3 linked regions of the Alligator mississippiensis genome follow. The protein of the gene in region 2 interacts with the protein of the main gene of each other region in a pairwise test. Links are inferred from orthologs where the notes say so. Each region holds a gene or a part of one and is shown on either strand. Other genes may lie near its edges.

Region 1 (7,804 bases), on a different chromosome or scaffold from region 2:
TTCTGTCGTGCCTCAGTTTCCCCTCCCAGCTAGAGGGAAACAAATTTGCCCTCTTATCCCTCCCTTCTAGTGGAGCCTGGTAGGGGGATTGCTGGGGGGGAGGCAAGCTTGGGGAGGGAGGGGCTAGCTCTAGGCTCCACCCCTTCCCTGGGTATAAAAGCGGAGGGGCCAGGCGACGAGGAGCCCGTGTCCCGCATGCCCACCTGCAGCAGGGTGGCCTTGGGCACCACCAGCAGCATGTCCATGTTGCCGTCCTCATCCCCCTCCAGCGTCACCAGCTCATCCATGGGCCGGGGCTCGCTGAACTGGAAGGGGCTGCTGCGTCCCCGCTCCTCCCCACGCCGGTCCACATAGCGGTACTGGTACTGCTGGGCCCCTGGTGGGGGCAGGTAGTTGGCTGCGGGGGGGGGACAGGGTCAGTTAGTGGGGGTACCCTGAGCCCTGACTGCGGCTGCGTGGGTACCCGGGGTGTCAGGGGGTGACGATGCCCCCTCCTTCCCTTCTGCTCATCTCACACCCCGATTCTGGGGTCTTACAGGACCCTGTCTGGGAGCTTCCCCTCAACCAGGAAGCACCAAGCTGAAACACCCACCCCAAATCCCCCCCCTCCAGGGGATGCAGATGACCCCCCCCCCCCCACAGCATCCCCTGTAGGGTGGTCCTGGGAGTGCTGCCACGCAAGAAGGCCTAGATCTGGGGAGGGGGAGAGGAAGACCCCCGCTTGGGGGGGGGGGTGTTGATGAGATCAGAGAGCACCAGGCCCCACTTTGGTCTCCCTACCAGGCACCACGTACCTTGGAACTGGACGCTGGAGTGCAGGGGCACCCCCGTGGGTCCCCCCTCAGGCACCGGGCACCACACGAAGGTGTAGTAATCTTTCACGGACGCCGCTTCCACCTGCATGGACAGACACACAGACCAGGGCAGGGCTGTGGCTCAGCCGCCCACTTCGGCCAGGGTGGGGAAACCGAGGCACAAAGCAGCCAAGGGGCAGAGCTGGTGAAAGAACCCAGGAGTCCTGCTTTCCCCCCCCACTCCAACAGCTGGATCCCAATCCCCTCCTGGAGGACACTGCAGGACCCAGGCTTCTTGCTGGCTAGCCCCCACCCAATTTTCAAAGCTGGCAAAAAACCCAGCTGTCCAGCTACCAAGTGCCCCCCCATGTCCCCAGCCTTGCAGCTTCCTGAAATATTGTCCCCAGGGTCCTTGGAAGTGGGGTGGGGAACAGGAAACCTGCGTTCTTTTCCTGGAGCTGTAGCCCCCATTAGAAAGCCCCAGGTCTGTGCCCCAGTTTCCGAGGCTGGGGGGTGGTTTGGAGACTTTGGGGAGAGGTGATAGTGCTCGACACATGGGGAAACTAAGGCATGGAGGTCACCCACTCCTCCTGCCCCCCATACCTTGAAGATGCCGATCCAGTCCCTGGCGGAGGGCTTGGTGCCGGGCGGCAGGGTGTAGTGGCACTCCACCTTGGTGCCGGGCACGTAGGAGTGTGCCACGTTGAGGAAGGCTACAGGGACGGGGCTGGGGCCGCGGGGTAGGGCCCCCGGCTTGCTGGGCGATGCCTCTGCCATCCTTGACCTGCTAGACAGGTGGTGGGAGGGGGTGAGCAGGGTCCTGATAGCCCCTTGCTGAACCCAGGTGTCCTGGCAGGGCAGGTCCCCCTTCCCCAGAGCCCGGCTCCTCCCCTGTGGGCACCGGGGCGGGGGGTGTCTTTCTCCAGCAGTTGAGCTCTGGGCCGGGGAGGCCACATGGCTAAGCTGGGACACCTAGGTTCTGCATGCCTCCCAGCTAGAGGAAATCAAATCAGCGAGGCACAGGGTACTCAGATGCCTGCCCCTTGCCAGGGGTCACCTCCTAGGAAGGGCAAGGAGGCTGGTCCCGGGGGGTCTGGGCAGCTTGGAGGAGACCCCAGGTGCTACAGCAGTGATTCTCAACTGAGGGGATAGCACCCTAGTGGCCTTTCTGGCACCTGCTGCTGCCCCCACCCATGCCATCTGCCCCCAATGCTCCTCCAGGGAGTGCTGCCAGGTTTGTCCCCCCTGCTCCCAGGGCTGAGGCACATGAAATCGTGCAAGATCAGTCACACACACTATGGACCAGGGGTGGGGAAGCAGACAGTAGAAAGAGCAGGGCATGGTAGGCTGAGGCCTGCCCTCTTCCCTGGCACTTGGCTCCCCTCAGGTGGGCACAGTCTCCCATTCAGGCACAGACCAGGGCAGATGCTGCTTAGCTTCCAAGCCATGTCAGGCCAGCTGGGTGGCATGCCACAGAGACACAGGGCCTACCCCCACTGCAGCTGACATTGTGGGGTGGACAGGCCCCACCAGCCAGCTCCGTGCCTCAGTTTTCCCTTCTGTGAAATGGGTGTGAGTTGCAAACAGCAGACAGATGGGGGCGGGATGGCCCTGTGCCTGAGCAGTGCCTAGTGCTCAGAGGCCGGGGAAGGAACTGTGGTGGCTTGTGGGCGTGGGGTGCGGCCACCCGACACCCGCTGGCAGTGACAGGCCGACCACCTGGCCGCGTCCCGGAGCCGCCCCTTTTTTCTGGGGTTGCACAAGGCAGGCTGATGCAAGGCCCGATCCCGACAGGGCAGGAAGCAGCTGCCTACTCCCTTGCCCAGAAACGCCCCCACCTCCACCAGCACCTGGGTTGGGGGCGGGGGGAGGAGCAAAACCCAGGGTGGGGGGGCAGGAGCACGTGCTGTGCTTACAGGGGCTGCCCCTGCCCTCCCTGGGAGTCAGGCCAGGGGGGTGAGGCTGCCTTGCGGGGGTATTAAGAGGGTGGGGGGGGGCACGTACCCCCCTGGGATGCCCCCCCTCCCCAGCTGGCAGGCCTTGCAGGAGGGATCCAGGGCACATCCCCCTCCCTCCTCCAGGGTGCACCCCGCGGGGCAGCTGAGCCCAGATCTGCCCCCCCGGTGCCCCCCGCCCCGGGCAGGGGCGAGCAAGGCTCTTACCGCGGAGCAATCAGCTGGGCTCCAACAACAACAGCAGGCTGGGGCCGGCAGGGGGCGGGGCGGCGCGGGGCATGCTGGGACTTGTAGTCCGGTCCAGCCTGGCTGCTGGGCCAGCGGCGGCGCCAGGGACTGCAAATCCCAGCGAGACCCAGGAGGGGGAGGGGGGGAGGAATGCAAATCCCAGCATGCACCGCGGGGGAGGAGCAAGGGGGGTTGCAAATGCCCCCATGGCCGGGGCTGGGGGTGGGGAATAGAGGGCTGGAGTGCCCTGCCGAGGTTTTTGTCTCCATTTGCAGGCTTGCTTGTGCTCCCCTCCTCCAGGTCCTGGGCTCTCAGTCCCATGACTCCTGGTGCTGGGGCTTGAGGCCGATGCAGGGCACCAGGCTGCAGCCTTGCCTTGCTAGGCAAATGCCAGGGGTTGGAGCTCCCCCTGCTAGCCCACCCACCTCCGACTACTCTTATCCCGGCTCCCGCTGGTGACCCGTCCATGGGATTGCGGGATGGATCTTGCTCCTTAAGACGCCCCTGGCTCTGCAAAGGTGCCTGGTGCTTGAAATGCCAATAGCGGACAAGGCAGAGCGGGGCTCATTGGCCGTGCTTATCCCAGGGCAGCCCCCAGTATGGATGCACTTACCCCAGGGTAAAGGCACTGTGCCCGGGCACCGTTGGCAGAGGCATCAGGTCCTGCCTATTTGCTCAGCGAGCTCCCAGCCCTGCCAGTGTGTCCCTGGGCTGGGGGACCTGACCTGGAGGGGGGGCTGTGCTCTTGCAAGGGGCCTGAGAAGCCTCAGTGGGGAGGGAGCCGGAGCCGGGATCCAGGCCTGAGTGGTGATGTGTTAGTGGATGTTGTGGATGTTAGTGTCCATCTGCCCACCCATGTGCCCACCTGTCCATCTATCCGTCCGTCCGCCCGCCCATCCTCCTGTTTGTTAGTCCGTCAGTCCATCCATCCATTGGTTCATCTATCCCCTTAGACCCCCATGTTGATCTATTGATTGATCTCTCTATCCACACACAACTCCCCATCCATTCATCTCCCTCCTTCCTTCCTCTCTTTCCTACCAGGGCTCTCATTTCTGGATGGCTCTTGCTCCCAGCGTCTTTGGTGCCCCCACCTACCCCGGTCCAGGCTGGCTATGGGTGGAGGGAAGATACCCTGCCAAGAGCTCAGTATATCCAGGAAGCAGGGACCCTGAGCCTGCTGCGAGGGCAGAGCCAGCCGGACATGGGGCTGGGGGGCAGGGATGTGGGCACAGTGGCTGGGCTGTTCTCTGGCTGCTTTAGGGAGATCCCTGGGCCCCTGTGTCTGTCCCTGGCTCCATCCATCCATCCTGTCTCATCTCCCTGCAGGGTCTCAGCCCCTGACCCAGCTTCTTAGGCCGTAACCTGCTTCCACCCTGGCCTGGAGCCCCTCATGCCATCTCCAGCCCCCCGTCGCCCTCCCTGCCTTGCTTGCCCACATGCCAGCAGCTACCCCCTCCTGCCTAGGCAGCAAGAGACAGGGATGGAGACAAATGGGCTGGCATGGTGCCCTGCCTCCTGCTGGGACCCCGGGAAGCGCTTGGCAAAGAGGGTTAATGGCTGCTCTGTCTGTTCTCATCCCCGGCGAGGGGAGCCGACTAAGCAGCTATGATGGGCTGGGGGGGGGAGGGGGCTGCTCTGGCGAACTGTAATTAACAGCCAATCGTTCATTAGAGAGAGAGAGAGATGAAATATGGCCCTGGCTGGGCCCAGCAGCAATGCAAGGGAGGGAGGGAGGGAGGGAGGGAGAAAAAGAGAGATACAAGGGTACAAAGGGAAAGGAGGATGGAGGGATGGAGTCTGGGGCTAGAATGAAAGAGGGGATTGATGGATGGATGGATGCATGTAGAGTTGGAGAGAAAGGGGGCATGGGGATGGATGGATGCATGGACAGATGGATGGATGGACGGATGGATGTGTGTAGGGTTGGAGAGAAAGGGGGCATGGGGATGAATGGACAGGTGGATCCATCTGTCCATCCAGTCATCGATGGATGTGTGTGGGGCTGGAGAGAAAGGGGGTCTGGGGATGGACGGATGGATGTGTGGGGCTGGAGAGAAAGAGATGGAATGGCAGAGGGGGAGAAAGGAGTGGACAGACAGATGGAAACAGCGCTGTGGGGCTGAATGGGTGGCATTTGGGGGCATTTTCACTGGAAACAGCCATGCTCCATGGCAGTTGCCTGCACGATTTTGAGGTGATGACTTTTATCTTCAGACAAACCAGATCCTTTCAGCCTCACTCTGCCAGCCCCCTCCAAAGGCCCCTGCACCAGCACCCCCTGCCATGACCCCATCCCCTGCTCTGAGATCAGCTCCCTTCTTTGAGAGCCACATCTTGCTTCCAAGAATGGCTTAAATACTAGGGAAAATAATGAGGAGACGGGGTTCAAGGCCGCATGGGATAAGGACCAGGACTGTTCCAAGCAGAGCTTATGTCCTTGTGTTGTTATTTGGGGTTCAGATATTGGGGGGGGCAGACTTAAAATGAGTCAGGAAATGTGGGGGTGTCTTTTAGTCAAGGTAATACGGCAAATACAAGCTGCTCCCTGGTCTTCTCACTGCTGGTTTTGATCTTCCTCCGGGCTCTTCTCTGGACCCTCCAATCTCCTCCCACCCTGAGTTGCCAACACCGTGTCCCAGCGCTGTCAACTCCTGAGATCAGCTCTCCCCTGCTTGCTGTTTCCCTGTATCTCCCCCCATGGCTCATGCAACCCAGTCTGGGGTGAAAAGGGGGCAGGCAGTGGAGTGATCAATAAGTCCTGGTCCCCCACACACACTAGACAGGGCTAGGAGGCTGTAGCAGGGGGACAGCTAGCTTACAACCCATGCTGCATGGTGCAGCAGTGGGATCTGAACCCCTATCACCATACAGACACCAGACACCCTGAGAAAGGCCAGATCCTTGCCCAGAGCCTGATTCACCATCACTCACTCAGCCCTAGGGGTATTATTAGGACTCCCCTGCAATGCATCTCCTAGGGTCAGGGGCTCTCAGAGACCCTCAGTCTCACCTACGGGGAAGTTTCCTCGAAGGCTTGCCTGGGGTTTTCCACCCTAAAAAAGACATGAGGCTTGTTTGGCTAGAAAGTACCTGCAGAAAGTCCTTTTTAAGACCTGGCACAGTCTGGAGTCAGCAAGATTCTTACTAGCCTGGAGGGGGGTGTGTGAATGTGTGTGTACGTGCGTGTGTACGCGTGTGTGGGCTCAGAGCACCATTAGATCCACATAAAACGCTCCCTGCCCACCCCCCACCCCCAGTGCTGCATTTCACAGGGAGATCTGGGCTCCTTAAGCCCCCGCCTGGCTCTTGTTAGCAATGCCTGGCTCTGGCATTTCAGGTGTTGTATCAAGATCTACCCCCTGCCCTGCACCAGCTTGCCTTGCCCCTTCTCCCCCCACCCACACAGACCCAAGCCAGCACCTTTGCCCACCCAAGGCTGAGGCTGGAGCCCAGGGTGCAAATTGGCTCCTTCAAGCCTGTTGGCTGAAGCTTTAAGGGGAGTTTTCCCCTTTGAACCTTCTTTATTTAATGTTATTTATTAGCAACTTCTAGGCTGGGTGTGGGGCCAGGCTGGCCTAGCAGCGCCTGCCTGCTCGTGGAAGCTAAGCAGGGCTTGGCCTGGCTTGGGCTTGGATGGGAGACCCCATAGTGCAGATGGGGCATTACTGGCTGGGACTGGTTGTGGGCTTATACTGGCACCTGGGGGTGGGGGACAGGGCCACACATGTGCAGAGCTCTGGCAGGTCTCAGCCTTCCCCCTCCCTGAGTGCTGGCTGTGCCTCAGTTTCCCCACGGCCCCTCCCTTGGCCGGGGCACAAAGAGGCGGGATTTACGAGCATCTCTCAGACACTCATAACGAAGCAAATTCAATTTGACGCTGCCCCGGCCGGTCAATACAGGAGATAAACGAGCCGGCGGGCCCCGGCGGCTCAATGGCAAAATCGATGGCACTCTATTGTGCGCCTCAGCTGCGTGGGCTCGATCCTGCCCCCTGCCCTGGAGCTGGGGTAGGAGCAGGGGACCTGCCAGGACCAGGGGTTCCCCACCCCACAGGGCCTGCTGGGGTTCATGTCCTAGGAAACTGGGAGGCACTGGGGGCTGTGGCAGTTTCAGCACCCCACAAACTCCACTCAACCCAGTGCCATAGACTCCCTACCCCAGTCCCTGGGAGAGTCTCTGCCAGTTCTGGGTGGTGGGGAGGAGAGGACTTTTGGGGATGTCTAATGACCATGGTAACCTTAACAGTGGCGTGTCTCCAGGAGCCCCCAAGCCCATGGCAACACCCCACAAGTGGACCCATCCCTGCAGACCCCAGTGCCAGCTCTGTGAGCCCCCCGCTCGCTTCTGGGAGTGTCCGTCTGTCCGTCCGTCTGCAGCGCACCAGGCAGGGCTGTTCGCTGGCTCTGGTGCGGGTCTGGTCCTGGCAGCTGGGCCGAGCAGACGGTGTCGAGCTGGCCCGGCGTGGCCAGCCCTGGGCCATGCCAGCCGGGGATGGTGCCACCGGCCTGGCCTGGCAGCGGTGCCTCGCGCCTGGCCTTGCCAGGGCCCCAGAGCTGGCAGGTGCTGGGTCCCAGCTCTCCGATGAGGTGGGCAGCCCTGAGCCCCAGCTCCATCTGGCCTGCAGTGGCTGCCAGCGCTGCTGTTTCTGTCCTCCCCACCCTACCCAGCTAGAGGCCCTGGGGAAATGCGGTCCATTGAGCCCACAGCACAGAGCCACGAGCTGCAGTGAGGGGCGCCGGTGTCTCTGCAGGGTCCTGTGGTGCTCAGCCTGCTCCTCTCACCTTGTCTCCTTGCCCCTTCTTCCCCCCTACAGCTCAGATCTCC
Region 2 (7,846 bases):
GTCTGATGCAGCTTGTTTTTCTGCAAGAGTCTGCTGATAAAAGTTTTTGTGATGGATAAAAGGGTTTGTTATGGCACACTCCAGCTACATCTGAAGGAAATGGCTCCTGGTACCAGGAAGAAGGGGAAAAACAATGATAAAGTGAAGACAAACCCCAAGTTGTTGAAGAAAAACAGGAAACTGGCCTAACTGGTAGCTATGAGACCAAAGGACTATAAATATTACCCCCCTTTCCCTTCCCCTCTCTCTCCTCCCCTTTTTCCTTCTCCTCCTCTCCTACCCTTTCCCTTCACCTCACCCTAACAATGCCTAAAAACTGAAGACATCTGATCTCCCTTCAAGGAACCAGAGCCCACTTTGAGACACCTGGCCAGCACTGGATGTGTGTATTAGGACTAGTAATATATAATTACTTGCTTGCTAAGATTGTATCTTGTTAATATTACTGAAACTGCTAAGATTATATCTATATGCATGCTTGTAGTTAATAACTTGTAAGGCTCAATAAAACGAATTTATTAAGAAAATAAATGGGTTCTAATTTGGAGAAAAATAAATAGATAACTGGGTCCTTGGTTGGAGGGAACATATAGGTTTTCATTTGGAGAAAACTGAAGCACACTTTAAGGCAATATCTATCCTACTGTTTGCTCTCTCTCCATTTGAGAGAAGAACCAGATGCCCCCTGGTTCTTAGGGCAATAGTGCCACGAGACCCTTTCAAGGATGCTGTGGTGCAAGTGTTCCCACAATGGCCAGACAGAACTGCCCCACAAACCTTGTGCACAGCCAAATCAGGAAGGGCTTCAAAACAAGCTGCACTCCTGCCTACATCAACGTTATCTGATTAGCCTCAAGGAGACAGATGAGCCTGCTCCTGTCACAGCTCTTTCCAGTCCAACCCCAGACTGTATCTCCTGGAAACAGAGGCACAGTGGACAGATGGAACTGTCCTGTGTACCTCTGTTTCCAAAAGAGATCAAGGGGGGCAGGTGGAGAATAGGGAGGGCTGTGGCAAGAGCATTTCTATCTGTTTTAGGCTCATAAGATAATTGAAATGCATCCAGGAGTGCATGCTTTTGCCACATCCCTGCCTGGTCTGGGTCTACACGAGGTACATAGGATAACTGCACTTGGCTGTGGTGGTAGTAGCTCTCTGGTTGAGAACCACCAAAGTAAACAGAATGGCACAAACCCCCACGGTGGTCTGGGGAGTTTGTAAGGAGTTGTGAATGTTTTCTTATATTTATTTCACTGATACAGAATGTGAGGTTTCACTGGGAAGGCCATGTTATGCTATATCTACTTATGTCACTTTTCTTACTGTATAGATGGTGTTATGATGTCTGTATACATCTTTGTGTTTCTGGACATCTCAAAGAACGGAGGGGTGCATACTTAAGGAATCCCAGACAGGCTGGAGACATCATTGGGTTGGGAACTCAAGGAACTGCCTGCCTGTAATGGGGAAATCTTCTCCTCTCTAGCAAAGGCATCTGTGAGAAAACACCCATCACCCAGAGGAAAGTCAGATGTCCCTGAAAGAGAAGTTTCTGGAGGATTCTGGAGACCCAAGAAAAACTGAGACCATGCTGATGGGAACAGGAGGGCAGTGGGCAAGGGTGTTTATAAGGTAGCCAAGGTCTTTGGATTTTTTCCAGGCTGGAGAGGAGTCCAGGACCCCAGCAGTCACGGCTGGTAGTATCAGCAGGGAGGCTGATCCCTAAAAACACTAGCAGTAGTCTCAGGAAGACTAGCATATAACCAGATAACACAGCAAGAATCTCTTTACTGGTCTTTTTGTTCCATCTCCAGGCCTATAGTCAGTTTTTCTTGTACAATTCTATCTTACTATAATAAAGCCTTTTGCTGTTTTGCACACCTTACTCTCTGCCTGTGGAAGAGAGCAGTCTCTGGGCAAGAGATATTTTAGGCTCGCTCATTCTATGGAAAGGGGCGGCCTAAAAGTTGTTACACAAAGCACAGGGGAGGCCACGTGGGGCTGCCCAAGATTCCGCTGCTGCAGGTGTGAGGTCCAGGCTGGGGCAGTGGAGCTGAGGTTTGCTGGAACAAGGAGTTATCCCAGAGCAAGCTTTGTTTGGTTCCTCAGGACAAGCAGCAAGATGGAAGGGAGAACCTTGGAGCTCTGGGGTACACCGTGAATGGTGTAACGGGCAAACCAGAGAGCAGCTGGGAGCCCTGCATACTCCTTGCGACCGTTCCCTGCACAGAACATGCAGCCTTACTTTCTCCCCATTCCCCTCTCCCTACAAGGGGTCAAGCAGTAGAAACTACTGCTACTGTATTTCCTGACATATCATGCACACCCTGATTTCCAGGACCGGTTTTTATTTTGTTTGTTTTTAAAGGAAAGGTGTTTGCACACATGAGCAAAATACAGCATTATCTAAGACTTGCAGGTTATGCACAACAAAAAAAGCACTTTGAAAAATTTGTATACACAACCTATAAGAAGGATCACACCAGAAAGCCGTGGGAAGGAGGGCCCTGCCGGCAGCACCACTTGTTAAACCGTCTCCCCAAGACGAAGACTTATCACACACTCCTCCCGGCTCAGCTGTCATTCATAAAGCACATTTTTCATGTCCCCAGTGCGGGTGAAACAAGGAATTGAAGTCTGTCCAGCGTGAACACTGTGCCATCGCAGAGGCTGGGGCAGGGAGGGCCGTGCCCTTCACATGGCGCCGCCCGCAGCTAGGAGGTCTCAGCCCACAAAAATAAACCCCCCTTCCACGGGTCCGCCCCTCGCAGGCCAGCGGACGAGGGGACAGCAGCCAGGGCCCAGCGCCCCGCTTTGGACAGGCAGGGCAGGGCCCTCCACGTCCGGCCGCCGGCCCCAGGCCCCGTGCCGGGGGACCCGCGTGCATCACCTGCAGCAGCAGCGACTCGCGATCCCACCGCCGCTGCTCCCTCCGCGCCGCCAGGCTCCGCTCGCTTTCAAACCCGGACGCCATCCCCGGGGCTGCCGGAAAGCACCGCCAGGCCGGGCTGTAATACGGCACTGCTGGGAAAGTGTCGCAACAGGCGCCGCTCGGGCGGGGAGGGGGGGGGTCAAGGTCCTCCAGCAGCCGGGCGGAAGTGACACCCAGGTCCCGCACCACGCCGGAGCGAGTTCTACTGGGACTCGAGAGCCTCGTAAGGCTGCAGTCAGAATCGCGGGTTCGAGTCCCTGCTGTGGATATTGAAATTTTCCCCCAGCACGTTAGACAGAGAGCGCTGAGCGCTGGCTGTGGGTTGGGTGCTTTGGTCAGCGATGATCCTGCCTCGACCCCGGGAGGTCCCTCCCAGTGCTATTTGTGTAGGGTCCTGTAAAGGTCTTAAAATGTAGGTTTGCCAGGTGCCAGAAGGGAAGAGGTAATCAGGGCTCGTGGGCAGAGGTGATCTCTTTTATTAGAGCAACAAGATTTTTGCAAAAAAAACCAAACAAAACCTTTATTTGCAAGCTTTGGGGCACAAACACCCTTCATCGGCTTTGGAGAAAAGATGGTAAAAGTTCTGCTGGGTGGAAACGAAAGCTTGTATTTCGTAGGATTTCTCAGAGGGGTCCGTAGATGCAATCAGCATTCTGAAGGCGGGTCAAGTCGCGTGGGACAGATGAATTGGAGATCAATAAACTTTCATAAGCAACAGCTCCAGGGCTGTCCAGCAGTCACCCTGTCAGCCGTGTGTGTCGTTGTCGTTCCCCACCCCCTGCCAGCCATGGTTCCCCTTATCGCTCTAGCTCTGGGGCAGGGTGCCAGGGCACGGCACAGGAAGGCATGCCCGCCTCAGGGTGGGCAGTGGGGAAAAGGCCAGGGCTGCACTGCCACAGCAAGGATTGGGCCCCTTGTGGCTCTCCTGCCATACTCCCCTGGCACACCGGCATTGTACAAGTTGAGCTTCTGGGCGTTTTTTGGTGTTCTGCCTAAAAATATTACTGACTCCTGCTCTAGCAGTCCGCAGCATGTGGCCTTGGTTTACAGGCAGCAGGCAGTGTTCAGCAGCAACAACCCCGCTGCATGGGCTCCCTCACCTTATTTGCTTCTACTCCCCATACACAACTGGGCCCTGCACTTCCCATGGCAAAAATCCTGGCAGGGTGAGGCGTTGGGAGAGCACCATTCCACTCAACCCCTGCCCCTGTATACTACTGAGCTCAGGGCTGCCTGACTTCTATGGGCATTTATACACATACTTTTTTGTCCCACAATACGCTGGACATTCACCGCTTTGGAGCAGACTCAATTAATTGAGTCTGCTCCGCACGCGAGCTGAGGCACGCTGCGCCACACTGTGTGCGGTTGTGTAAGTTGCAAAATGTACATCAGCGTGTAGAAAATGGTGGCAGTGGGCTTATGAACTAAAGCATCTCCAATGTGTTTTAGTTCAAAAGCACGTCACCATCATTTTCTCGGCACTGATGCACGTTTCACTGCTAATACAACTACATGTGTCACAACTGCAGCACTTACATGTGTAAAAATGCCCTGGGACTGGGCCAGGCTGCTGTAACAAAGACTCTCAAAAGGGGTATTCTGGTGTCCTCTGTAAGTGAGCACCTGAGGCAGGTGTTCCACTCCCTAGTTATACTACTGGTCTGTAAGGCCACAGACCTGCAACAACTTTCTTCCTGACTTCAGACTGACATCGTGAACTCTCTCTCAGATTATTCTGAAAGAAGGGAAGGAAATGAGAAAGGAATTTTCTCAAGGGAGACGGATAGAAAATTAAACCTGTCAACTGTATTTTGGCTTGTCAGCATTCTTGAGACATGTTCAGTAAAACCAGAGAAAGGTCAAAAATAAAAAAGCTTCCAACCTTTCCTACTTTTATACATTAAAAAGAAAACAAGAAGAGCGTAGTATTTTTAAGATCTGCTGCAAGTTACCTTGATGACCAGCAAACCACCCTAGCTCTGTAAACTCCTTGCAGAAAACAACAAGTTAATAAATGAAAACCTATATGCATCCATACCTTGTCTCCACCAGGGAGATACCTTTGTGCACCATATCTCAGTTTGAAGAGTATCTCTCTGTTCTCTTAAAACGAGCTGCATAGTCAAGTGGTGATTCCCATGGTAAGTTATCTTATAACCTTCACTGCTACCACTTTCTTTTAGTGCATTTTGTGATTTTTTTTGTTCCATAGAATTGTGAAAAAAAGAAAAAAAATATATGTTTCCAGGAAGTTTGATTCTGTACCATTTACTTCAAGTAGAGAATAAAGTTTCACCAGAAAAAGAAAATGCTCTCCCTTTGAAAAAACAAAATTTGTTTGCCACAGATGATAGCTGATAGTCCATTTGGGTAAATCCTGCATGTTGCTGTGGGAGTTTTTTATCTGAATCAGCAACCTATTCTGAAACAATAACATAAAAGAAACATCAAAGGCAACAAGGTGGCTAGAGAGTTAGGTGCATGGAGGCTAAAATGGACTGAATCTAATTCAGTTCTTAATTTGTTTATTTTTAATACACTCCCTTTGTCAGTGTGTTACTTGTGTGTCTGAGAGAAAATGATAGCTCAGCTTCGGACAGGAATTTTCTGTGGCTGGTGAAAGTAAAAAAGTCAATCTCATGAGAAATTATAGAAAAAAGCAGATGATATAATCACAGAGAAGGGCATTTTTCTTCAATAAAAGTTTTACTAAGTTTCCTTCAAAGAAAGAAAAGGTGGGTGTATATAAAATTAAGTGCCACAAAAATGATAATATACCATCTGACAATGGAGCGGTCAGCTCCACTGAGCTGGGTGAAGGTCTGAGTTGTTCAATAGCATATTTTACTTTTTTTTAGTCAAAAAGAGTCCTTGGCACCAAACTTCAGCAACCAAACAGACTGTTTAACACTGATGACATAGAAAGCCTCTTGCAAATAAGAGTTTAGTTTTCAATAAAAATGAAAAAGCAGACTGCTGTAAATCTAATGAAGATCCATCTATTGTTCCATATTTAATATCAAACCATGTGTTGTCTAACACTAGGCAATAAGTATTTTGTTAATTTGCTTAGCTACTGAGAACTCAAATGGTATTGTTAGCTATAGTTAAGACACCTAAGAGACAAAGTTTGGAACTAAATCCATTTTCCTCAAACTTCAGGATTGTTTGTACCCAGAGTTTTCATTTCATGTCATTCTCTAGTGACATTTACTAATGTTTGTCATAAATGTTTTGTGACAAATCTCTTTGAAACACATACATATATATTGCATATAAAGTGACAATTTTTCAGTATTTTGTTTTTTGAACAGGTTGTTCCTTTTTATGAGCAGGAAAAAAAACCTGAATCAAGTGGGTACAATAACAGCAATTTCTGTTTTTACTGCTACCTCAGAAAAGGCTTGTGGTTTCTAATGTCCATTCATGGTCAGCTCTTTTTCTCTTATATTTACTAGCCTAGTTCCCATCATCTTCCCCAACAAAACTTTCCTCTCCTCTCCTCTCCTTCCCTTGCCTTTGCCTTTCCTTTTCCCTTCCTTCCCCTTCCTTTCTGCTGTACTCCACTGGACCTGAAAGATCTGCAGGTTCCTGTAACACTTAGTAGCTGCCAATACCACGATGAGATATAAGCAATAATCTTGGCCATTTGGGACTAAGGCAGACATTTCTGTAGTGTTACAAAGCTGGTAGCACTACAAAGAATACAGTGCCGTGGGCAGGCACACATGCACAGTCCCTTTGCTGGAACAAGAAAAAATTGTCGCAAAGGCACATTCTTCAGCCAGAGGACAATATGGCATAGCTCCATAGCTCCCTCTGTCCCCAGGGCAGCCTCCATTGCAACAGCTGACTGGGACCAGGGACCCTTGGTAGCCTTTGGTTTCCAGCGGCCTAAAAGCTCCAGCTGCCTGCAGCATTTTTGGGGTACATCTATCAGTTTTTTTATGGAACAAAAAGCCTGAATGTGGCCACAAGCTTTTTGTTGTGCTAAAACAGTAGATAAATGGGACAAAATTAACACTGATCTAAACTCTAACTCAGATAAACTGACTGGAGCCAGGAGCCTTAACTAGCCCTGTTGGGGCCTTATTACACGGTAAATTTGGGTGGCTCCTGGATCTCCTAGCCCCTTTGATGGTCCACACATTAACACCTTCAGTGGTTTAAACCTTAAAGCCCTTGTTATGCGACTACTGCAGGGCAGGGTTATCTCTTGAGCCACACCACCCAGCTCCTGTTCCATTAAGTCATGTCTATTCCCCACTGATCTTCCCCAAAGGTGTGACTGCTCCAAAGCTCTAAACCAATCAACATTTGGGTGGCTCACAGCATAATGTGTAACCAGGCCTTTATCTGGAAGGTTTTATAGAGCTTCATTAAAATACAGAAAGTTTTAGAAGGCTGCCTCCATTAGTGACACTTCGGATCCTGAGTCTCCTACCTACCAGCCTCTTTGGCCATGGTACTCAGGAACTACCTTCATGCTTTTTCCATGCTGTTGTGTCTACTTGTGGAACCTGCAGTAGTTCCAGTCAGTGCTGTACTCCCTTCAGACATTTTGAGCCAAATAGAAGATAACTTCCAACTGGAGGTATTGCAGGACTCATATCAATTCGTTGTATAGAAGCATCTCCCAACAAAGTGGAGAGAACAAATAAGAAAATGATATGGCGATGTGACCATTCTAGATTACTTGGGGCACAAACTTCCTCTCACTGATTATTGAAGAAATTGTTAAAAACAATGAGAACCTGGCCCATGACAGGTCTTTGGGGTACCATGGCAATACCAGTAATCAAAATTCAACCTCTATGTGTAAGTCTCTCTCTCTCTCTGATATATCTTTTATTGGACCTGCTAAATAGCTGCAGAAACGTTCTTTGCAAGCTTTCAGGCATAAGCACCCAT
Region 3 (7,031 bases), on a different chromosome or scaffold from region 2:
CAGCATTTACTTTGCTTTGGTTTATCCCTTTATTTTTCCATTTATCTGCTTTAGCAAGGATGAGACATTGTACAAGTGAGCTATCATATAGCTGCACTTGTATCTATACGATATCAAGCAGTTGCCAAGTGAAGAGGTACTATTCACAGAGATTTCCACACCTACAAATTTTACCTCACTGGCAGTAAGCCTTGTTTAAGAAAATATGTATGTAAATATATTTATAACTTTATAGCATGTTAATGGGAAGGTACCGAACTAAAAATAATTTACAGACTGTATGCTCCCTTTCTTACATTATTCTTTCAAGTCTGAAGTCCACATTTACCACCTACTCTCCCAGCAATTTCTTTACTTCTTCCACCTTGCTCAGCTTGGAGAATAAAGTCATGATCTGCTAATAAGCTGGATCTAGAGCAAGTCAAGATTTTGTGAAAATAAGTAAAGAAACAGAAATATTTTGTACAGGCTGAAATCTTGGTCTCTGTTTCTGAAGGAACAATAACACTGCTAGGATCCCAAACTGATATTTGTGAAACCTCAGGCCAACAGAAATATCATGAAGGTTTTTAGTATATATACACATCTACTGACAACAAATGTCCTTTACAATGCTCCTCCATGGTTTGAGATCCAAGCTTTACAACACTCTGCCAAAGTGTGAGAACCTGACTGTAAAAGACTAGTTTATTGTTTGCTCCAGCTTAGCTTGAATGACAAAACTTCAGCTACAGCAACATGACATAAAACAATCAAAGAAAATCCTTGTCTCAACCACTACAATTAACACTAAGCTAAATAAATCACTAGACCTACGGCAGGTTGCAGATTTGCCCTACTTTTGAAGACTGCAAATGCTGCAGAATGCTATTCTTGCAAAGGAAATCTTTTGTTTCCCATGTCAATCACTAGCCACCTCTGGAAAAAGAGATACCTGATCTACAATGCATATTCATGAAAAAAAAAAAGAGGTTGGTAGATATAAAGTTATTTATATAAAGGCACATGAGGAGGGGCACAAAAATATTTCCAATTTACCCCATTCTACAGTCCTTTTATTTCATAAAACGTTTAGGACTTTTTGAAGGGAGAGGAACAATGGCATTTGCCAAACCTAATCAAACCAGTGATCCATCTAGCTCCATATCCTCTCTTTTAAAAGCGGCCAGTATCAGATGAAAATGCAAGACAGCAAAAAAGTAAAGGCTAAACACCATAGGTCAGCAACCAGCCTCTGCTCTAAAGCACGAGGGCTTATATATCCCTTCTAAAAATGAATATAAAACTCTTGTTCCATAAACATCTGATTTTTTTTAAACCTAAGTACTGGTGCTCTAAGAAATCTTGTGACAATAAACACTAGGGGATAACTACCTACCATGTAATATGAGACGTGTACACTTACACATTACCTTATTTTCCTGAATTACTTTCATCGTGTCCTGTCTTAGGCCCGTCTACTGGGGAGGTAAACTGCCCAGCCTGAGTGCATGAGAATCGCTGTTCTGCAACACCTATCCCAGCGTCATTTCCTTAGTTATGCCGCTCAAGTTCCCCATGTAGACAAGCCCTTATTTACTCACCTCCTGTCTACAGCAGAATGTCCTAGCCTTTTCATTCTCTCTTTACGTCTATTCTTCCATAGTTCAAACCATTTGGGCCTCCCTGCTCTGAACAACGCTGGCTTTTCCAACCAACGAGCATTAAAAGCAGGGTGTGAATTAAGGGGGAGTTGGGAGGGGGCTAAGCCAGCCCCCCATGAGAGACCAGAGCCCCCAAGATTTGAAAATCATAACCTGGAAGGGGGGGTCCTCTGATCAGCTTGCTCCTTCACTTACGTGACCTTCTTAATCAATGAGCTGGTTTAATTTTTATTTTTTTTGCAGACCCCATCCCCAAGAGTCAAAGTGTAACTCCAACCCTGATTAAACGCAAGAGCGGGCGTTTCTTTTTCCTAAATAGAGCCGAGCCTATGGGCATTTGTACACGTGGCTGTGCTGCAGCGCCAGGTGCTTCCGACAGCGCCCGGCGCTGCGACGCACACGGTCGTACAAGCGGTGACGTGCGTCAGCGCTAGGGTGGCCATCGCAGAGGACATCCCCGTTTCCTGCTCCTCTGTCGATACAAAACCTGACACCTTTGTGTCCTCTAGCTCTCTCTTCAAGACAGAGAACGTATTTTCGTCTTCGAGAGAAAAACAGAGGGCATAAAGGCGTCCGGTTTCGTATCACCACAGGACGCCCGGACCGTCCTCTACGGTGGCCACCTACCAGGGAGGGTTTAAAATGTGCATTTGCCTTCCCGACGCGCCGTAATTCGTGTTGTTACGTCGTGGGACGAAACCTCCTGGGAGCGATTCAAATGGAGCTGGGGACCCTGCGGGCGCCGTCGCAGACGACAGTCCAGTTTTCTGCTCCTCCGTCCGTAAGAAACCGGACGCATTTTTGTCTTCAAAGAGAAAAGCGGCGGACGTCAAGGTGTCCGGTTTAGCGCCGACGACGGGCGGAGGGCAACTGGACTGTCCTCTCCGACGGCCGCCCCGCTCGGCGCCCAGAAAGCGGCGGTGTGCTCCCGAACTAAGCCGCAGCGCAGACGTTTCGGTTCGAAAGCGCCCCGCTGCCGTTTCCTGCGCGCGCCTCACCGCTCGCGCCCCTTTGCTCCCACCCGCCCGGACCCCCAGCGCGGCTCGGGACGAAAGGCACGTGTGTAAGCGCCCGCGTGAAACGAAACGCCGTTTCCAGGCCTGCGCTGCACAAACGCCCGCGCTGGCCCGGGGGCCTCTCAGCGCCCCTTGCCCCCGGGGCACCTGCAGGTGCCTGGCCCCGCCCCTCCCCCACGGGTGTTTCTGACAGGACCCCCAACATGGCGGCCGCCGGCTCCCTGAGGGAGCGCCCCGGGCCCCGCGCTCACCTCCACGCTCTGCTCGTCCATGACGGCGGCCCTGCGGGGAGAGGGAGAGAGAGGGAAGGAGGGTGAGATGAGGTGAGGTGAGGGCAGGCGTTGCTGCTCAACGGCCCGGCTTCCTCCACGGCCCGGCCATGTCCGCGCGCCCCGCCCCAGTCCTCCCGCCCCCTCGCAACGCGCATGCGTCCCGTCTCAAGCTTCCCGCCCCCTCGCCACGCGCATGCGCTACGGGAGGTTCCCACCCTGGCTGCTGTCTGCAGGGGAAGGGGAGGGGGATTCACAAGCTGCAGCAAGGCTGCGTGTTGGGGGACGTTGCTGGCGAGGAGGGTGGTGGAGAGCCGCAGCAGGGCTGCCCAGAGACGTGCCCGTCCTTGGAGGTGTTGAAGACATAAAAAAGGCTTGGGTGGGATGATGCAGTTGGAGCAGGGGGCTGGACCGGATGTGATCCCCTGAGGTCCCTTCCCACCCTCCTCCGAGAAGTGAAGGGCTGCAGCCAGCTTCAAAACTGGCCCATGGGGTGACAACGTGACCTTGCAAAAGGTTGATGGGTCTACTGTCACTTCTGTCTGCGCCGCCTGCCCGCCTCTGGTTGCAGAAGGGGGAAGGGAGGGGTTTCAGCCCTGCTCCAATTCCCCACTAGAGCCACTTGAGGAACCCCTAGACCCGCGGGTCTCCACCTTTTTTTGTATCGGGACCCATTTATAAACATCCACGGCCAGCACCCCTCGCTCCCCACCAGCTGGCCCATGCGTGTGGGGCAGCGGTGGGTACGTGGGGCATGGTGAGGTGTGTGGGGCAGGGGACTGCCAGGCTGCAAGGGAAAAGCCACGGTTTCCCCATGTTTTTCTGCTTTAAAAGCTCAATGAGCCATTTCTAAAGTTTTTTCGTGACCCTTTCATACTTTCTTGTGACCAGCTTTTGGGTTGCGACCCTCAGGTTGAGAAACGCTGCACTAGAAGGAGCTCCGTCTCCCTCCTTCCTTCCTGCCCTGAGAGCAGGGACAGGCTGAGAGAGGGGCCATTGCTGGGGAAAGCTGACTGCAAGGGGCAGCTAACAGCTGGATTCCCCTCCCTGCTGGAACCAGCTGTGAACATCTGTGTTTCCAGGGATGATTGCAAACCCCAACCCTTCCTGCAAAGCGTTTTTAGTTACAGCAGGGACCTGTACTTCTGTCTGCAACCATGTTTTTTCAAGCACTGACTGTAAAGCTGGTTGGCTCTTTTTGTAGCTAGAGAGTCATTTTTACCCTGTGACAATTACTTTGCAAGGGTGGCTGGTCTACATTTATTACTCAATTAGCCCATTAATTGTGATAATTACATTGCACCTGTGGCATCTACATTTATCTGGGGAATAATCAGTTAATTGTGTAAAGTATGCAAGTATAGTAGGGACTTAAGGGCCCTGCTACACATTCAAATGAAAGCTGGCTAGAAGTCATCTCTAAAGTTGTTGCATATTTTTCAAGCACTGATGTTACAGCTGGTTGGCTTTTTTTGTAGCTGGAGAGTCACTTTTATCATGTGATAATTACTTTGCAGGGGTGGCCAGATTAATTGGCTAATCACAGGATAAATTTAATCCTATGATTAGCCAGTTAATGGTATACCAGGGGCCTAGGTGTTTTAACTAAAACCTTTGAGTTATAGAGCCAGGATAGTAGCTGAGGACATCAGATTGCATTCAAATTTGAAAGGGCAATCATCTAGCTCTCAAGGTTACAGAAAAAGCTTCTGCAAAAGGCGTGTTTAGCTTCTGACCTGTGGGCCAAATCCAGCTCATGGAGTCAAGGGATCTAGCCCATTGGGCTCTGCACAGGTCTAGAAATCTGGAAGGGGGAGTGGTGGAAATTAACCCTAATACCCCTCCACCACTGCTAGATTTTCAGGCACAGTGGAGCCAGGGCAGGCTACTGTTGCACGGGCAATGCGGGTTGGGCCTGGCCCAAACTGTAGCAGTTTCCCCCCACAGTGACACAAGTCCTGGGAGCTGCATGTGATAGAGGTGGGCCAGCCTGGCTCTCCTCCTTGCTGCCACATGCAACTCCTGGAACTGGTGGGAGCCAGGCACTGCTGGCAGGGGCTGTGCGCCATGGGGGAGGACATGGGAGGGTCCCCACACCACCCCATCACACCCCACATACTGCCCACCCAAGCTCTGCGCTTCCAGCATCCCACTGAGCACAAGCCCTGGGCTCTCTGCTCCCACCAGCCCCATGCTCCACCCAGCTGCAGCTTCCCTACCTGCTGCCCGGAGCAAGCACTGCAGTAGGGAGACGAGGAGGAGCCCACTGAGGCCAGGGAAGCCGAGCAGGTCCTGGGGCAGCTGCAGCAGTGGTCCCACCCAGAAGTGGGCTTGCTGGCTGGGGCTGTCCTGCACATGAGGGTGGGAGCAAAGCTTGCAGGCTGGGTGGGGTACAATGCATTGGTAAGTGCCCGTGGGCCATATATTTTGTCTGCTCCTGTTCTAGCTACATGGCCAGATCCAGCCCACCAGCCAGATACCACTATCCTAAACCATACAAGGTTAAAAATAGCATGATTTGAATTGTCTTATTAAAGTGATCTCTCTGTTCTTGGGAGTCCTCACATGGTTAATGCCTGGGGTTGGTAATACTAAAATTTATGGCACACATTTGAAAAGCACTTCCCTCCACCTACCTGCCAGAGAGATGGCAACTCGGGATTCTCTGCTGCTCATGCTACAGTTGATGACATCGCTAACACCTAAAGCAGTTTAAAGGCAGTTTCCTGCAGCTGTTACAGAAGCCACATGCACCTCTATATTTCTTTTTTCTCCCCTAACTCGAAGGTTTAAGTTTTACTTCCACTTCTAGACCTTCTCTAGGCCATTTTGCTGGATTCAGCTACTTGAGGTATATGGATAGAGGCCAACCTATTTCTAAAATCACTACAGAAGGGGTGCATAGCATATACTTTAAAAGACTTTCTAGATAATTGGCAGTTAGTAGTGTGAACATCTGTGGGGGGAACCAAGAAGGTCATAACTCAGAAGAGAAACCCATAGAAGGCTGCATCTACACAGTGTTTGCCAGTGTAGTTATATTAAGAAGCCATCATAATGGAGACAACTACAGTTCCTTTGCTTAGACAACTTAGTTTGGGAAACTGGCAAAAGCTACATTGGCAAGGCCTTTGATAAGTTGCTGTTCTGCAGGTGTAAAGCAGGCCCATACCTTTCCCATTTCCCAGAGGGAAAACAAACCAGTACCCTTACCTAATAACTACTTGCCCCTCATCCCAGCAGAGTGAGCAAACCTAGGTTGTTAAGTTATTGAAATAGCAGCTCTAGAGTAATACCAGAGTGCTCCAGCAAAAAAAACCCACAAAGTATAATTTAAAACATAAGATTTTTTTCCCCACTCTGAAAATAATTAGAGAGTTGTCTCCACAAAAACTGTTTGCTGAACCTGTTCCTAGAATCAAGCAAAGTGGAGAAAAGAACATAGGCTGACAGTACCACAAGCACTCATAAGATTCAGCTCTTCTTGTCTGAATGTATTAGACCAAGTTGCTCGTAACATTTGAGGCTAGAAAGGGAATCTTCCTCAAAGGCAAGGATTTGGGGACTTTTTTTTATACTATAGAATTTAGCAAGATTTATACATCACATATGCAACATCAATATTTCTTGCATGCTCAGAAATTACCCGTTACTAAGCCTCAGGTCTTTGGGTTCTGTGTTTTCCCAAGCCTCATCTACGGCAGCAAACTTATCCCTTGCCGACAATGGATTTCAGCAAAAGGTGCTAAACATAGTTTAGCTGCAAGGACAGACTAACGCTTTAGCCTGTTTCTGAAATGGTCTTGAAGATGGTTTATCTTTAACTACACTTGCAGTTAAATCATATTTAGCACCAGTTCAGCCACAGTTGTTGCCCATCGTCATTCACTTTTATCATTCATCCCAGTGTCAGAAGCAATTTAATCTTCACTGCAAAATACAAGGAGAGCAGAGAAACCTGACTAGAATAGAAAATCATTGATACAACCAAGAGTAAAAGTTTTTCAACCTGTGTAGTGTTTATACCTTTATATAATAATATAAAGAAGCTGCAGTATTGCGGTTATATCCCACTTGTCTTTCTGGAACAGTGCAGAAATTAC

The links.
Region 1: the proteins of CWF19L2 (region 2) and CALCOCO1 interact in binary tests that used the Homo sapiens proteins (3 or more experiments, as listed by UniProt). The two-hybrid records come from large-scale screens. The link is inferred for Alligator mississippiensis from reciprocal best matches to the Homo sapiens genes CWF19L2 and CALCOCO1.
Region 3: the proteins of CWF19L2 (region 2) and TRIM37 interact in binary tests that used the Homo sapiens proteins (3 or more experiments, as listed by UniProt). The two-hybrid records come from large-scale screens. The link is inferred for Alligator mississippiensis from reciprocal best matches to the Homo sapiens genes CWF19L2 and TRIM37.

What each region holds. Positions count from the first base shown.
Region 1 is NC_081838.1:8,533,495-8,541,298, reverse strand, and holds the start of CALCOCO1 (calcium-binding and coiled-coil domain-containing protein 1), read right to left. Parts: upstream 3,017-7,804; 5' UTR 2,957-3,016; intron 1,582-2,956; 5' UTR 1,572-1,581; coding exon 1,398-1,571; intron 898-1,397; coding exon 795-897; intron 398-794; coding exon 204-397; intron 1-203. UniProt on the Homo sapiens protein: Functions as a coactivator for aryl hydrocarbon and nuclear receptors (NR). Recruited to promoters through its contact with the N-terminal basic helix-loop-helix-Per-Arnt-Sim (PAS) domain of transcription factors or coactivators, such as NCOA2.
Region 2 is NC_081824.1:437,555,820-437,563,665, reverse strand, and holds the start of CWF19L2 (CWF19-like protein 2), read right to left. Parts: upstream 3,024-7,846; 5' UTR 2,975-3,023; coding exon 2,891-2,974; intron 1-2,890.
Region 3 is NC_081837.1:3,318,857-3,325,887, forward strand, and holds the start of TRIM37 (E3 ubiquitin-protein ligase TRIM37), read right to left. Parts: upstream 3,066-7,031; 5' UTR 2,932-3,065; coding exon 2,911-2,931; intron 1-2,910. UniProt on the Homo sapiens protein: E3 ubiquitin-protein ligase required to prevent centriole reduplication. Probably acts by ubiquitinating positive regulators of centriole reduplication.